2 linked regions of the Elephas maximus indicus genome follow. The protein of the gene in region 2 purifies or fractionates together with the protein of the main gene of each other region. This does not show direct contact. Links are inferred from orthologs where the notes say so. Each region holds a gene or a part of one and is shown on either strand. Other genes may lie near its edges.

Evidence for each region. The genes of interacting proteins can lie anywhere in the genome.
Region 1: the proteins of TSPYL1 (region 2) and DDX24 purify together in Homo sapiens (affinity purification with mass spectrometry; 3 studies listed by BioGRID and IntAct, counting the BioPlex papers as one, with this or other methods). This does not show direct contact. The link is inferred for Elephas maximus indicus from reciprocal best matches to the Homo sapiens genes TSPYL1 and DDX24.

What each region holds. Positions count from the first base shown.
Region 1 is NC_064828.1:107,656,102-107,663,870, reverse strand, and holds the start of DDX24 (ATP-dependent RNA helicase DDX24), read left to right. Parts: upstream 1-4,750; 5' UTR 4,751-4,842; intron 4,843-7,216; 5' UTR 7,217-7,221; coding exon 7,222-7,769. UniProt on the Homo sapiens protein: ATP-dependent RNA helicase that plays a role in various aspects of RNA metabolism including pre-mRNA splicing and is thereby involved in different biological processes such as cell cycle regulation or innate immunity.
Region 2 is NC_064819.1:182,883,882-182,891,579, reverse strand, and holds the start of TSPYL1 (testis-specific Y-encoded-like protein 1), read left to right. Parts: upstream 1-4,697; 5' UTR 4,698-4,781; coding exon 4,782-6,107; 3' UTR 6,108-7,698.

The DNA.
Region 1 (7,769 bases), on a different chromosome or scaffold from region 2:
TTAGTGAGACAGGACTCAATCTACCAGATTGAATTGTGTCTTGAGGCGATCTCTTGAGATATAAAAGAAAGAAGCGATCAGAGGGATGGGACCTCATACCACCAAGAAAGCAGTGCTGGGAGAGAGCGCATCCTTTGGATCCAGGGTGCCTGCGCAGAGAAGCTGTTAGTCTAGGGGAAGACTGATGAGAAGGCCAACAGAAAGAGAGAGAAAGCCTTCCCCTGGAGATGACATCCTGAATTTGGACTTTTAACCTACTTTACAGTGAAGAAACAAGTCTCTTTATTAAAGCCATTCACTTGTGGTATTTCTGTTACAGCAGCACTGGATGAGCAAGATACCTTACCAGAGATAAAAGGAAATGGAAGCAGGCAGAGAGCTGGGGACTCATACCACCAAGAAAGCAATGCCGGGGGCACAGCATGTCCTTTGGACTTGAGGTCCTGCACAGAGAAGCTCCCAGAACAGGGGAAGATTGTTGACAAGGATCTTCCTCCAGAGCCAACAGAAAGAAAGCCTTCCCCTGGAGCTGATGCCCTGAATTTAGACTTGTAACCTACTAGACTGTGAGAGAATAAATTTCTCTTTGTTAAAGCCAACCACTTGTGGTATTCCTTTTATAGTAGCACTAGATATTCAAGACAACAGGTTTCAGTGGGGCTTCCAAACTTAGACAGACTAGGAGAAAGAACTTTGTGATCTACTTCTGAAAAAATTGGCCAGTGAAAATCTTATGAATAGCAGCAGAACATTGTCTGGGATAGTGCCAGGAGAGGAGGCTATCAGATTGGAAGGCACTCAAAATACGACTGAGGAAGAGCTGCCTCCTCAAAGTAGAGCTGACCTTAGTGATATGGATGGAGTCAAGCTTTTGGGACCTTCATTTGATGGCGTGGCATGACTCAAAATGGGAAGAAACAGCTGGAAACATTCTTTAATAAACGGAACATGGAATATGCAAAATATGAATCTAGGAAAACTGGAAGTCATCAAAAATGAAATGGACTGTATAAAGATCGATATCCTAGGCATTAGTGAGCTGAAATGGACTAATACTGGCAATTTAGAATCAGACAATCATATGGTCTACTATGCCAGGAATGACAACTTGAAGAGGAATGGCATTGAATTTATCGTCAAAAAGAACATTTCAAGGTCTATCCTGAAGTACAGCGCTGTCAGTGATAGGATAATATCCATACGCCTACAAGGAAAACCAGTTAATACAACTATTATTCAAATTTACGCACCAACCACTAAGGCCAAAGATGAAGAAATAGAAGATTTTTACCAGCTGCTACGGGGAAACCCTGGTGGCATAGTGGTTAAGTGCTATGGCTGCTAACCAAAGGGTCGGCAGTTTGAATCTGCCAGGCGCTCCCTGGAAACTCTATGGGGCAGTTCTACTCTGTCCTATTGGTCGCTATGAGTCAGAATCGACTCGACGGCACTGGGTTTGGGTTTTTTTTTTTATCAAATTCTACAGTCTGAAATTGATCAAACACGCAGTTAAAATGCATCGATAATTACTGGTGATTGGAATGTGAACGCCGGAAACAAAGAAGAAGGATCAGTAATTGGAAAATATGGCCTTGGTGATAGAAACAATGCCGGAGATCACACAATAGAATTTTGCAAGGCCGATGACTTCTTTATTGCAAATACCTTCTTTTACCAACATAAACGGCGACTATACACATGGAATTCGCCAGATGGAACACACAGAAATCAAATTGACTACATCTGTGGAAAGAGACGATGGAAAAGTTCAATATCATCAGTCAGGACAAGGCCAGGGGCCGACTGTGGAACAGACCATCAATTGCTCATATGCAAGTTCAGGCTGAAACTGAAGAAAATCAGACCAAGTCCACGAGAGCCAAAATATGACCTTGAGTATATCCCACCTGAATTTAGAGACCACCTGAAGAATAGATTTGATGCATTGAACACCAGCAGCCGAAGACAAGACGAGTTGTGGAATGACATCAAGGACATCATCCATGAAGAAAGCAAGAGGTCATTGAAAAGACAGGAAAGAAAGAAAAGACCAAGATGGATGTCAGAAGAGACTCTGAAACTGGCTGTTGAGCATTGAGCAGCTAAAGCGAAAGGAAGAATTGATGAAGTAAAAGAACTGAACAGAAGATTTCAAAGGGTGGCTCGAGAAGACAAAGTAAAGTATTATAATGACATGTGCAAAGAGCTGGAAAACCGAAAGGGAAGAACATGCTCGGCGTTTCTCGAGCTAAAGAACTGAAGGAAAAATTCACGCCTCAAATTGCAATAGTGAAGGATTCTATGGGGGAAAATATTAAACGACGCAGGAAGCATCAAAAAAAAGATGGAAGGAATACACTGAGTCATTATACCAAAAACAATTAGTTGATGTTCACCATTTCAAGAGGTGGCATATGATCAGGAACCGATGGTACTGAAGAAGAAGCCCAAGCTTCTCTGAAGGCATTGGTGAAAAACAAACCCACCAAAACAAAACCCACTGCCGTCCAGTCGATTGCGACTCATAGCGACCCTATAGGTTGGAGTAGAACTGCCCCACAGAGTTTCCAAGGAGCGCCTGGTGGATTAAAACTGCCAAACTCTTGGTTAGCAGCCATAGCACTTAACCACTATGCCACCAGGATTTCCGGTGAAAAACAAGGCTCCAGGAATTGATGGAATATCAATTGATATATTTCAACAAATGGATGCAGTGCTGGAGATGCTCACTCGTCTATGCCAAGAAATATTGAAGACAGCTTCCTGGCTAACTCACAGGAAGAGATCCATATTTACACCTATTCCCAAGAAAGGTGATCCAACCAAATGTGGAAATTATAGAACAATATCATTCATATCACACACAAGCAAAATTTTGCTGAAGATTATTCAAAAACAGCTGCAGCAGCGTATTGACAGGGAACTGCCAGAAATTCAGGCCGGCTTCAGAAGTGAATGTGGAACCAGGAATATCATTGCTGATGTCAGATAAATCCTGGCTGAAAGCAGAGAATACCGGAAGGATGTTTACTTGTGTTTTATTGACTATGCAAGGCATTTGACTGTGTGGAACATAACAAACTAGGGATAACACTGAGAAGAATGGGAATTCCAGAACACTTAATTGTGCTCATGAGAAACCTTTACACAGATCAAGAGGCAGTTGTTTGGACAGAACAAGGGGATACTGATTGGTTTAAAGTCAGGTGTGCGTCAGGGTTGTATCCTTTCACCATACGTATTCAATCTGTATGCTGAGCAAATAATCTGAGAAGTTGGACTATATGAAGAAGAACGGGGCATCAGGATTGGAGGAAGACTCTTTAACAACCTGCATTATGCAGATGACACAACCTTGTTTGCTGAAAGTGAAGAGGACTTGAAGCACTTACTAATGAAGATCAAAGACCACAGCCTTCAGTACGGATTGCACCTCAACATAAACAAAACAAAAATCCTCACAACTGGACCAACGAGCAACATCATGATAAATGGAGAAAAGATTGAAGTTGTCAAGAATTTCATTTTACTCGGATCCACAATCAACAGCCATGGAAGCAGCAGTCAGGAAATCATAAGATGGATCCCATTGGGTAAATCTGCTGCAAAGGACCTCTTTAAACTGTTGAAGAGCAAAGATGTGACCTTGAAGACTAAGGTGTGCCTGACCCAAGCCATGGTATTTTCAATCCCATCATACGTGTGTGAAAACTGGACAGCGAATAAGGAGGACCGAAGAAGAATTGATGCCTTTGAATTGTGGTGTTGACGAATAATATTGAATATACCATGGAGTGCCAAAAAAACGAACAAATCTGTCTCAGTAGTACAACCAGAATGCTCCTTAGAAGCAAGGATGGTGAGACTGCATCTTACATAGTTTGGACATGTTGTCAGGAGGGATCAGTCCCTGGAGAAGGACATCATGCTTGGTAGAGTACAGGGTCAGCAGAAACGAGGAAGACCCTCAACGAGGTGGATTGACACAGTGGCAGCAAGAATGGGCTCAAGTACAACAACGATAGTAAGGATGGCTCAGGACTGGGCAGTGTTTCGTTCTGTTGTGCACAGGGTCGGTACGAGTCGGAACCGACTCGACGGCACCTAACAACGACAAGAACATACACGTAGACCTCGCCAGATGGAATACAGAAGTATCAAATTGACTGTCGTTGTTGATGATTCTGTTACATTCCTTGCTTGAACTCGAGCTGACTTTGCTCTGGCAGCATGTTCGTCGGTTTCTCACTTTTGCTTCTTGGAACATATGCCAAATAAAATCTTTCTTCTTGCTTTAGTATAAAAAGATTTTACCCTAGTACAGTATTTAAACCCTGGGAAAAATTTCTTTGGGTGGAGCGCTTAGTTCATTTCATGGACTCTGAGTTGTCCCGGATTCGAATAGTTTTTATGCCTTCAATAAAACTCAATACTTTGATTTTTAACAGTGCTTCCAGTTTGCTCTTTGACACACCGAAACTAGCCCAGTGGTACAAGAGCACTTGCGTTCCCACGTGTTTCTGAACAGAGCCTTTTCGCAGGGAGCAGGCTCTGCAAGCTCCCTAAACCCAGGAAAGGCATTGTCCCATCAAAGCCTCCGTAGCTCAGCTCGCCGGCCTGGTTTGGCAGAAGCCCGCGACCCCGCGCAGCAGCGAATCAGGTGGCGGCGTTTACAGTGGGGGAGGGACTTCCTTTCGCAGTGCGCTCGCATACGTGAATGGAAACCCCGCCCCGGAACTGTAGGCGACGCTACCCCTAAGGGGCGGACGCGGTGTTTTCTGAGGAGGTCGGCGGCTGGGTCTGAAGCAGGGTCTGAAGCGTCCTCGGCGGGGTCGCCACACGGTGAATCCTAGGGCTGGAGCGGGACCGGGGTCGGCGCTAGAGTGGAGTTGGGTGCGGGCTCTGGGGTTCCCATCGCGGGCCTCTCCGGCTCGCTGGATTCCCCGGATTTTGAATGGACGGCCGCCGGCTCAGGCCGCGCAGCCAAGCTGCGTGTCTCTCCCGCGCGCAGGGCCCCTTCCCCGTGTCCAGGGCCTCTTCCTCGTGCATAAAGGTTCGGGGGTCTCGGCTTCTTTGCTTAGTGCGCTCGTTGGTGCCTAAGATGAAGGGAGAGCTCCAGGCGCGGAGCCGGGCGCGACCTGGCGGCGCGCGGAGGGACCCTGATGCCCCGTAGTTTGCGCTCCGCGTCCTCGCCCCTGTTTGAGTGACTCCCCCCCCTTATCGTTGAACCCCGACTGTTTGTGAACGTGACGTAGCTTGTGTGGTGGGCGAACCTTCCAGTGCGTGCTGAATTGCTTACCCCGTGTCAGACGCCATGCTAAGCGGTTTTTGACTTGCGTCACTTTTTTAGATTGTCCTAACGACCCATTGAGACAGATACCTCGTCACCCCTTTTACAGACGAGGAAACTGAGGCTCACAGGGATGTATTCATCCACCAGAGGCCCAGAGCTGACAAGTGGTGGGTCCGGTTTTGAACCTAGATTGACCTTTTCCACAGGATGTGCTGTCTTTCTTGGCCTTTCTGAAAAGGGAGAACTTGGATTGAGTTAGGCCCAGACAATTTGTGCCTAAATGGTCTTTAAATCACTTAAAATATACTGAAAAAGCTGGATGGGTTTTAAGCCTTTTGGCAAATGCCAGAAGGTTGGAACGGGCATCTTTTTGCTTCGGGTGAGGCTTGAGAAGGAAAAATGCTCCAGAGCACTTTTGAGACTCTTACCTTCAAAAAAAAAAACAAACCCAGGTTTTTATTCTGCCTTCACAAGGGATAATGTGTGGCAGGCTTTACTCGCCATGCTTCCCGTAATGTTTCATTTACTTGCATAAAACATTTTTTGACTTAGATATTATTAGTTCCTTCGCCTCTTAAAGATGAGAACATAGAGGTTCAAAGAGAAGTAAGTAGCAGTGTCCAAGATCCCACAAGCAGTTAAGTGTTGAGTCTGGAATCTAAATGAGGTTTAGCTCATGTGTCTTTGCTTCATCTCCCATGTCTCCACTGTTCCAGGCCAGGCTGTCTCTTCTGTGGGTGTACTTTCTTTTTAAAACATATTTTATTGTGTTTTAGGTGAAAGTTTACATGACAAATTAGGTTCTCATTTAACAATTTTTATTCACATAATCTGTGACATTGGTAACAATTTTCACAGCCTGTCAGCATTCTTATTGTATCCATTCTGTTTGTTCTTTTTCTGTTGATCTAGTTTCCCTACCCGTCCTTGCCTTCTCATCTTAGCTTTGGGGTAAGTGTTGAGCATTTGGGCTTGTATAGTTGATTGTTTAAGGGAACGCATTACTCACAGGTGATATTATTTATTTTATAAGCCAGTCTATTATGTGGCTGAAAGTTGACCTCTGGGAGTAGCTTCAGTTCCAAGTTCAGAGGGTATCGTCGGGTGGTAGTCTCGGGGGTTCCTCTAGTCTATAGGTGTAGTAGATCTGGCCTTTTTTAGGAATTTGAATTTTGTTGTACATTCTTTCCTTTCTATCTGGGACCGTCTGTTGTATCCCAGGTCAGAATGGTTGGTAGTGGTAGTTGGCCACTGTCTAGTTCTGGTCTCAGACTAGAAGAGGCCGTGGTTCCTGTGGGATATTAGTCCTGTGGGCTAGTTTCTTTGAGTCTTTGGTTCTTTCATTCTCTTTTGCTCCAGACAAGTGGAAACCAGCAGTTGTATCTTAGATGGCCACTGATAAGCGTTTAAGATCCTAGACACTACTTACCAACCTGGAACGTAGAACATTATGAGCTACGTTATGCCAGTTTTCTGAGTTGTCCTGTGAGACTATGGTCCTGAGCCCTCAAACCTGGTAAACCAATCCCGAGAGGTGTTTAGATATATCTAGGAAGTCTCTGTAACTGTTTTGTTTTGTGCTATATTTTATATATATGAATATATGCAGCACACACACAAACACGTATATACATACAGCTACGGATATACCTGTACAGGCATGTGCGAGTATCACACACGCCTTCCCATTCACATGCATGCATACATCTGCTGTAGGGTTGTATGAGTCAGAATTGACTCGACGGCAGTGGGTTTGGTTTCATTTTTTTTTTTTTTTTTTGGTGTATTTCTTCCCCTCTTTGATATTCTCTAGTAGAGAGTATCAGTGTTAGACCATCTTGTGTCCTCAGTTGGGTCATATATTGCCTCAGAACCCTATACGTCTCAGTTGCCAACCTCAAAGAATATTTCTCTCATTTTCAGCAACCATGAAGTTGAAGGAGACAAAATCAAAGCCAAAGCCACCAACCTATCGCAAATTTCAGATGAAGGGAATCAAAGTTGTGGGAAAATGGAAGCAGGTGAAGATTGACCCAAACATGTTTGCAGATGGACAGATGGATGACTTAGTGTGCTTTGAGGAACTGACAGATTACCAGTTGGTCTCCCCTGCCAAGAATCCCTCCAGCCTCTTCTCAAAGGAAGAGCCCAAGAAGAGAAAGGCACAAGCTGTTTTAGAGGAAGGAGAGGCCAGCTCCCCAAAGAAAAAGGTCATGTTGAAGAAGAGTAAAGATGTGGAAACTGAAGGTACTAGTGCCCAGAAAGAGTTTGAAGTCAAAGATGCTGAGCTAGGGCTTCAGGAAGTTGGCTCCATTTGTCGTGAGCCAGAGGTGGAAGAGATAACGTCAGGAAGCCAGGCCCACACTGTTCCAAAAAAGAAGAAGAAGAAAGGGAAAAAAAAACTGGAGCCTTCCCAGGGTACTACTCCGAAGGTGCCCAAAAAGGCGAAGACATGGATGCCTGAAATGCGTGATCA
Region 2 (7,698 bases):
TTATAAAAGCTGAAAATACCTGTGATCATGCTTATAACAGTACTAGTACACCAAAAGTAGTAAATAAATGAAAAAACCCAAAACCCAGTGCCGTCGAGTTGGTTCCGACTCATAGCGACCCTATAGGACAGACTAAAACTGCCCCACTGAGTTTCTGAGGAGCACCTGGCGGATTTGAACTGCCGACCCTCTGGTTAGCAGCCGTAGCACTTAACCACTACGCCAACAGGTTTTAAATAAATGAAAGCTATCATTAATTACAACCAGGAAACATATCCTTCTGCAAAACAATAATGTCTGCTAAACTGATTGCCACCCGAGAAATCATTGCTGAAGACTCTATGATTCCTCGATATGACGGAGAATAGCTTCATGTCATTTTTTTTTTTTTTTTGGTGGATGTTTTCCTGAAGAACCACAATCTGTTCAACTACCTTTTGGTTTATTGCCAATTGCCACAGAAATGCTCTGTCATATACAGATATAGCCTATATTCCAAAGTACTAAAAGGTAATGTATAAAACATGGCCAAAATACATATCCCTCCTTCAAATAAAATAAAATGCCAATGTAGACACATTGTTAGTTTTTGTAGGATCATTTCAGGTTCTATTTTATTCAAAGCATCAGATATTGTTATCGTTATGCTGAGTACATGCAACAGAAGAAGCTACAGTGCTCCCATCCCTTGGGAAGATGCTGAAATGCTGGGATGATGAGACTGACATGTATGGAACAGTCACTAAGAGGAGGAATATAATTAAGTGCTACATTGCGTGGTAAACCTTATAAAAGAGCTCTAGGAAGCTCAGTGAACTGCAGAGCGGTCCAGGAAAGCTGCATCTAGGAGAGGGAGGAGGAGTTTAGCGGTTACTACAGGAAAAAAAAAAAAAAAAAATTTATTTTTTATTTTTATTTTTTTACAGGAATGATCTTGGTTAAGTTAGTTAACCTTTCAGAGTTATTATTTCCTTTTTTATAAAATTTAAAATTTTCATGCACATAAAACGCCTAGCACATTCTAAAGCAAGACAGGTTTATGCTCGGTCTTGGAGAATGGACAGGATCTGCCTAAAAAGATAACGTTTCAAAGAACAGATTAACCTGTGTCATGAAAAAGACACACATCTCCTTCTTAAGACTTTAGGTATAAAATGTTAAGAAAAAAAAATCCACAGGTAATATCCCTTTTACAATAATTATCTGTGGCAAATAGTAACCACATTTTTTTTTTCCTGCAGGGTAAAATAATTCCCCCTAAGCACATAAATCTTGGATCAGGTTAAAATCCAAGAAAGTACCTTCTTCACCCATGCAAAAAATAATTTAGGAAAAGAAAGGGAACAGAGTATGCAAACCTGCTTTTCCCTCTAAATATCTGCCTCTCAGTGGCCCATCTCCTCTGCAGTTGTTTAATTAAAAGTTATTAGAATCTGGGCTCTCCATTATCTATAATGAAGAGTTAAAATCATAATCATTTCTCTATTGTGATTTTCAGATAATTAAAATTCAAAGAAATGTGTCTCCTCATTTTCTGTATTTATTCATTCAAATACAGAAATATTCTGTATCACAGCTTTTTCAAATGTACTGACAGGAAGAGTAGGATGCAATTCTCCAAAGTGTCTTAACCTTATCTGGGGACATTACATTCAGCAGACTCCTGATTACATTAACATAACACCATCCGTAATTGGAATCTTTCCTAACATTATCAGTTAGAGGGCTAATTACGCTTTCAGAAATCCTAATGGTGACTTGGACAAATAAGGCAGTATCTTCTACGACTGGCGAAAGTCTGCTATTACTTTTTGCTTTAAAATAAAAGTATATTACAGCAGTAAAAGTTTCCACTTTAGGGCAAATTAAATTATTTCCATTCCAAGATAGAAGATGATTTCATACAATTAAAAAGAAGTGGGCTTTGTGGAAAGTTCCATTATTCATTCTTATCTCTACTAAAAGTAATTTCAGCCATGCATCGAAGGAGCTATCCATTTCTTGCAGAGGGAAAAGAAGTAAGGCCTGGAATCATTCCCTTCGCTTGCACAGAAAGGAGAGAAGAATCAGAAGAAGAGAAATGCTGTGCTGGTAGTTGGAAGCTGCTTTGCTATGTAAACACCTTTCAGAGTTTGTTTGTCATGCAGTGTGACCACACAAATGTAAATTATTTATAAAACAAATTGTTTTCCCAGGCTTTGATACATATGTAGAAATTCATTCTCCCGGCTAGGAGTTTGCTACTGCCGACAGTAGGTTGGTCCTCTGGTTTGCCAGTGGCAGCTGGAGAGCGGGGTGACAATTCATGTGCCCCTCACTTCTCTTTTGCAAACCCAAAGTTGTAGGCAAGAGAAACTGTGTTCTGTTTGTTTGCTAATTCATTTAACATTCTATAACGTATGGAACACTGTGCCAGGCATTTGGTACATAGTAGTGAACAAAACCATGTCCCTGTCTTCCTAGAGCTCACAGTATTTTCTCAAATATCTTTTTTTTTTTTTTGTAGGTTTTGGTTTTAATTTTGTCTTTCTGTGTATTGCCTAAGTACATTTATGGCCCCAATGTCCAAAAAGAGACTCCCACCCAGTGCCTCAAGCTATTATAAATCCCAGCTGTCAGGAAGGATCTCAGGGAAAGCAACCAGCAAGGTTGCAGAACCTGCTGCTAGAAAAAAAAATTGAGGCAAGCAGATTCAATCAAACTTCAATCCAAGCTGTACTAGTTTTCTATTTCTGCTGTAACAAATTGCCACCAACCCAGTGGCTTAAAACAATACAAGTTTATTATCTTACGGTTCTGGAGGTTAGAAGTCCTAGAATCCGTACGTTGACAGGTCTGCACTCCTCTGGAGGCTCTAGGGGAGAATCAGTTTCCTTGCCTTTTCCCGTGTCTAGAGAAAAAAAAAAATTTTTTATTTATTTTTGTTTATTTTTTAGAGGCTGCCTGCATACCTTGACTGCTGGTCCTTCCTCCATCTTCAAAGCCTACAGCATAGCATTTCAAATCTTTTTCTCTCTCTCCTGACCTCTACTTCCACCACCACATCTCCTTCTGACTCTGACACTCTTCTGATAAGACCCTTTGTGATTACATTGGGCCCACTCAGATAATCCAAGATAATCTTCCCATCTCAAACTCCTTTACTTAACGATATCTGCCAAGTCCCTTTTGTTCTAGGAATTAGAACGAAGGCATCTTTGGGGGCCATTATTTGTCAGCCTAACACACAGGCAAAGAAAATAGGGGGAAAATTGCCATTTCTACATCTTAAATCAACTAGCTGTATGTTTAAGTTCTGCAAGTTTGTTTTCTACTTCAAGGCCATTGTGGTAACACATTGTAACCTGTTTTTCTTTTTTTCCTCATAAAAACGGTGGTGGATGCCCCACCCCCCATCGGTATTTCTCTGATAGCTTACAACTTTGACGAGCTTTGTTGGCACAGTTGTTACAAGCTGGGCTGCTAACTGAAAGGTCGGTTGTTCGAACCCACCAGCTTCCAGGAAAGAAAGATGTGAGTCTGGTTCCGTAAAGATATACAACCTTGGAAATCCTAGGGGACAGTTCTACTCTGTCCTATAGCATCGCTATGAGTCGCAATCAACTGGACAGCAGTGGGTTTGGTTTATAACTCTAAGATGCCAGTTTTTCTCACAAGCCAACAAACTAAAACATCCAAAAAGACACTGACATCCCTCTCAAATGAACTCAATGAGCTGATTGCCCTGAAAAGATACTTCATTACAGTCAACCTTTCTTACTTTATAGAACTAAATACATTAACCGTTTATGGGGCTGGAAATAGCTGATCATTTCCTCTTTCCTGCAGGAAGAGACCATGGAGTAACATTTAGCAAATTGTTCCTGGCTTCCTGCCTGCAGACCTTATGCAGCATAATCTCTTGAATGCAGATTATAAATTAAGGACTGACAATAAACAATATGTATCACTTTAGTAGTTTAAAAAAAAAAAAAGAAGAAGAAGAAGAAAAAAAAAAACCTCTGAGTAGCTTTTTGTCCCAGTAACATTACAGGCTCGAATTTATATTTCCTGCCACTCCTACTTGAGAAAAGAGAAACAATTTGCTACCCACTTAGTTAAAAGTGAAGCTTTTGTTTCTAGCCATTATGGAATAACAAAGGATATATTTATTTCCCTATCTAAAAAAAAAGGAAAACTGGAAAAATAATGTTTTCAGACGTAGTACAGCAGTACAGAGCTGTGCCAGTTACAGGCTGGAAGGAGTTTCCAGATACATCGCAGGGACGGTCTCACTGCCTTCAGACTCAGAGATCCTCATTTTTGTAGTCCTTATATATATATGGGAAGGAGTCCCGGTGGTGCAGTGGTTAAAGCGCTGCGTCCCTTCGCTGTGTGAGGCAAAAAAGTGTTAGTCTGCTTACGTGAACATTACAGCCTTGGAAACCCTATGGGGCAGTTCTACTATGTCCTACAGGGTCATTATGAATCAGAATCTACTTCAAAGCAGGAGGTTTGGTTTTGATTTTGGATATTTATGTATATCGTGCAGATCAACGTTTATTAAACCAAATTACCAATCCAACTGATTAACGCTAGTACACTTCAACAATAAGCAGCGGCGGACCCAACCCCGGGGCTCAGCGAGTCTCGCGCTGTGGCGAGAGCCTTCAGCTCTGACGTCATCGCCAAGGTAAAGCTCGCGAGACTAAGAGTGGGTGGTGCGAACGGCCGGTTTGTCTGGAGTGCGGCTTCTTTGAGGAAAACCGTCGCCCGCTAGCCGAGGGTCGCCAGCTATCAACATGAGCGGCCTGGATGGAGGCGAGAGGACCCCTGTCTCCGAAGTCTGCAGCATCACTACTCCCGACCGTGCCCCAGGAAACCCGGACCAACACCACTGCGAGAGCCTCCGAGGAGAAACCGAGGCGACGGCGATGATGGCGGAGACGGGTAAGAGCAGCTTGGAGACCGTTGAGCCCCCACCACCCCAGCTTCCAGAGGAGAGGGACGCACCCCGGGACCCCGCGGCCTGTGGCGACACTTCCCGGATTCGAGTCAGTGGAGATCGCAGTCATCTGGAGACCACAGCGGGGAACGAAGAGGCTCCGCCTCCCACAGAGAGCCTGGAAGCAGCCTCTGCCTCCGTGGCAACTGATAACAGCCTGAAAAATGACTGTCTGGGTGGAGAGCCTTGCGGCTCTGGTGGGAAGAAGGCCCTAGAAACCTGTGACGAAGGGAGCTCCGAGTCTGAGGCGATAGTTGGGGCGAAGGCCAAGGACATAAAGACTGAAACGTGCGCCATCTTGGTAGTAGCAGTGGAGGAGGAGAGGGCTGAGGTGGTGGAAGAGAAAATGGAGAAGGAAGGAGTAATGGATGAGGAGGTAGTGGAGGAGGAGATGGAGATGGAAGAGAAGCCAGTAGGTGAAGAAATGGAAGTGGTGGAGGAAAATAGAGTGATAGAGGAAGCGAGACCCCGGCCCCTGAATATGGATCTCCGCATGAACCCTCTAGAGGCCATTCAGCAGGAACTGGACACTGTGAATGCTCAGGCTGACAGAGCCTTCCTCCAGCTGGAGCAGAAGTTTGGGCGGATGCGTCGACACTACCTGGAGCGCAGGAACTACATCATTCAGAATATCCCCGGCTTCTGGGGCACCGCCTTTCGGAACCACCCCCAGCTGTCCGCCATGATTAGGGGCCAAGATGCAGAGATGCTAAGGTACATAACCAATTTGGAGGTGAAGGAGCTCAGACACCCTAGGACGGGCTGCAAGTTCAAGTTCTTCTTCCGAAGAAACCCGTATTTCAGGAACAAGTTGATTGTCAAGGAATATGAGGTCAGATCCTCAGGCCGAGTGGTGTCTCTTTCCACTCCCATCATCTGGCGCAGAGGCCATGAACCCCAGTCCTTCATTCGCAGGAACCAAGATACAGTCTGCAGCTTCTTCACCTGGTTTTCAGACCATAGCCTTCCAGAATCTGACAGGATTGCTGAGATTATCAAAGAGGACCTGTGGCCAGATCCACTTAAGTACTACTTGTTGCGTGAAGGGGCCCGTAGACCCAGACGTCGCCTGATAAGGGAGCCAGTGGAGATCCCCAGGCCATTTGGATTCCAGTCCGGTTAACCTTTGTCCTTGGAAATACTCTAGCACAGGGTCCCCAGACCTGTGCTTGGGCAACGGCAAGGGTATGCTTTCTACTTTTTCTGTGCTGATTTTTCTGCGCCTTCCCTCTGGACATTCAGCTCTCTCAGCCTCCAGATTGAGACTTTCATGCTCCTCCACTTTAACGCGATCTTTGTGCTGTTCACCCGCTCTTGTATTAACACCACATACTGCGTGGCCATGGTTCACACCACTCCAAGGCAAGCACTAGATGCCGTAGATTACACTTTATCTGCACTGCTTGGACTTTCTTTATTTCAGGGGTCTCGGCTCTGGCTACCACCACCTGCATTTCTAGCTTTGGCTCCTACACACCTTGCTCTGCATCTGGCAGTCAAGGCACATGGCCTCTGGACAATTGGCTGGGTGTTAATGATGTCAAGGGAGAGCAGCAGTGGGCTACTTGGTTTGTGTGACTCCATTGGTCTTCCTACTTGTCACTTTCTGTTGCTGCCTCCTCCTGACTATGCCCCCTCTCCTTGGCTGCAGCCTTCTGAACAATCGCCTTCTAGACTGTTGTCAGCCTCACTGTCTGATTTCTAGTAAACAAGGATCTTCAAAACTGATGGTGGACCCAGGTTTCCAGCCAGCACACAAAAGATGCCTCAATTCCTCACACCCCCACCCCCCAATCTTCCAGAAACCCTATTGACTCTTACACAAATGGTTAGAGTCATCCTCATGGCAAAGGTGAGGATGATGTCCTTTCCAAGTACCAGGCTTTCTCAACCTCAACCAGTGAATTCACAAAACCTAGGTACCTTTATTTGCTTCCCTTCCTCATCCTGAACATGATAAGTTTCAGGGTAGCAGTAAATTTTTTCTCTCTCTTTAAAAGAAAAAAAAGTGATAGCTGAGAAAAATCTGTAAAAGCAGGCTTTTTAGTTTAATTTGGCTGTCATTTCCAGAAACAGGTTGTCCTATAAAATAGACTGCCAGAATTCTTATTGCCCCTGTACTGTCTTTCCAACTCCATGTCTCCCTTTTTAGAGAGAGATCTAAATACAATGAAAGATGATTTCTAGTTTAGAGTGGAAGAATTTAAGAGATTGTGGTGGATGCTCTAAGCAGCAAAAACCAAACAAAAGGCCAGAGGCAGAAATGAGCTACAGAATTGGGGCTAGAATTAAGATTGAACTGACAGAGCCTTTGAGAAAGGGGTGATGGGAGGAGAAATACTTTTCTCGGGTTTGGGATGGATAGAATTGAAGTGTTAAATAATACATTTTTTTTTTTTTTTTTAGAGTAGGGTTCTTTAAGGAAACGATGCAACTTCAGGTGTTTTCTTTCTTTCATGTGACCTTATTTATGTTGAAGATTAATACTGTTCCTTTTATTTCAGTATTATATAAAATGCTGTTACCTTTTATTTCTACCTACTGGAATAATTGAGCTGTACAGGCTTTCTTTTGCTTTCAGTTGGGAACATTTGGAAGCATATCAACCTTATTTTCATGTACAATATTAGAAACTTATTTGAATATTTGTAGCAGTTGTCATCTTATTTCTGTTAAAGCTGTATCCTTAGAAATATAGTTCGAATAACTTGGTC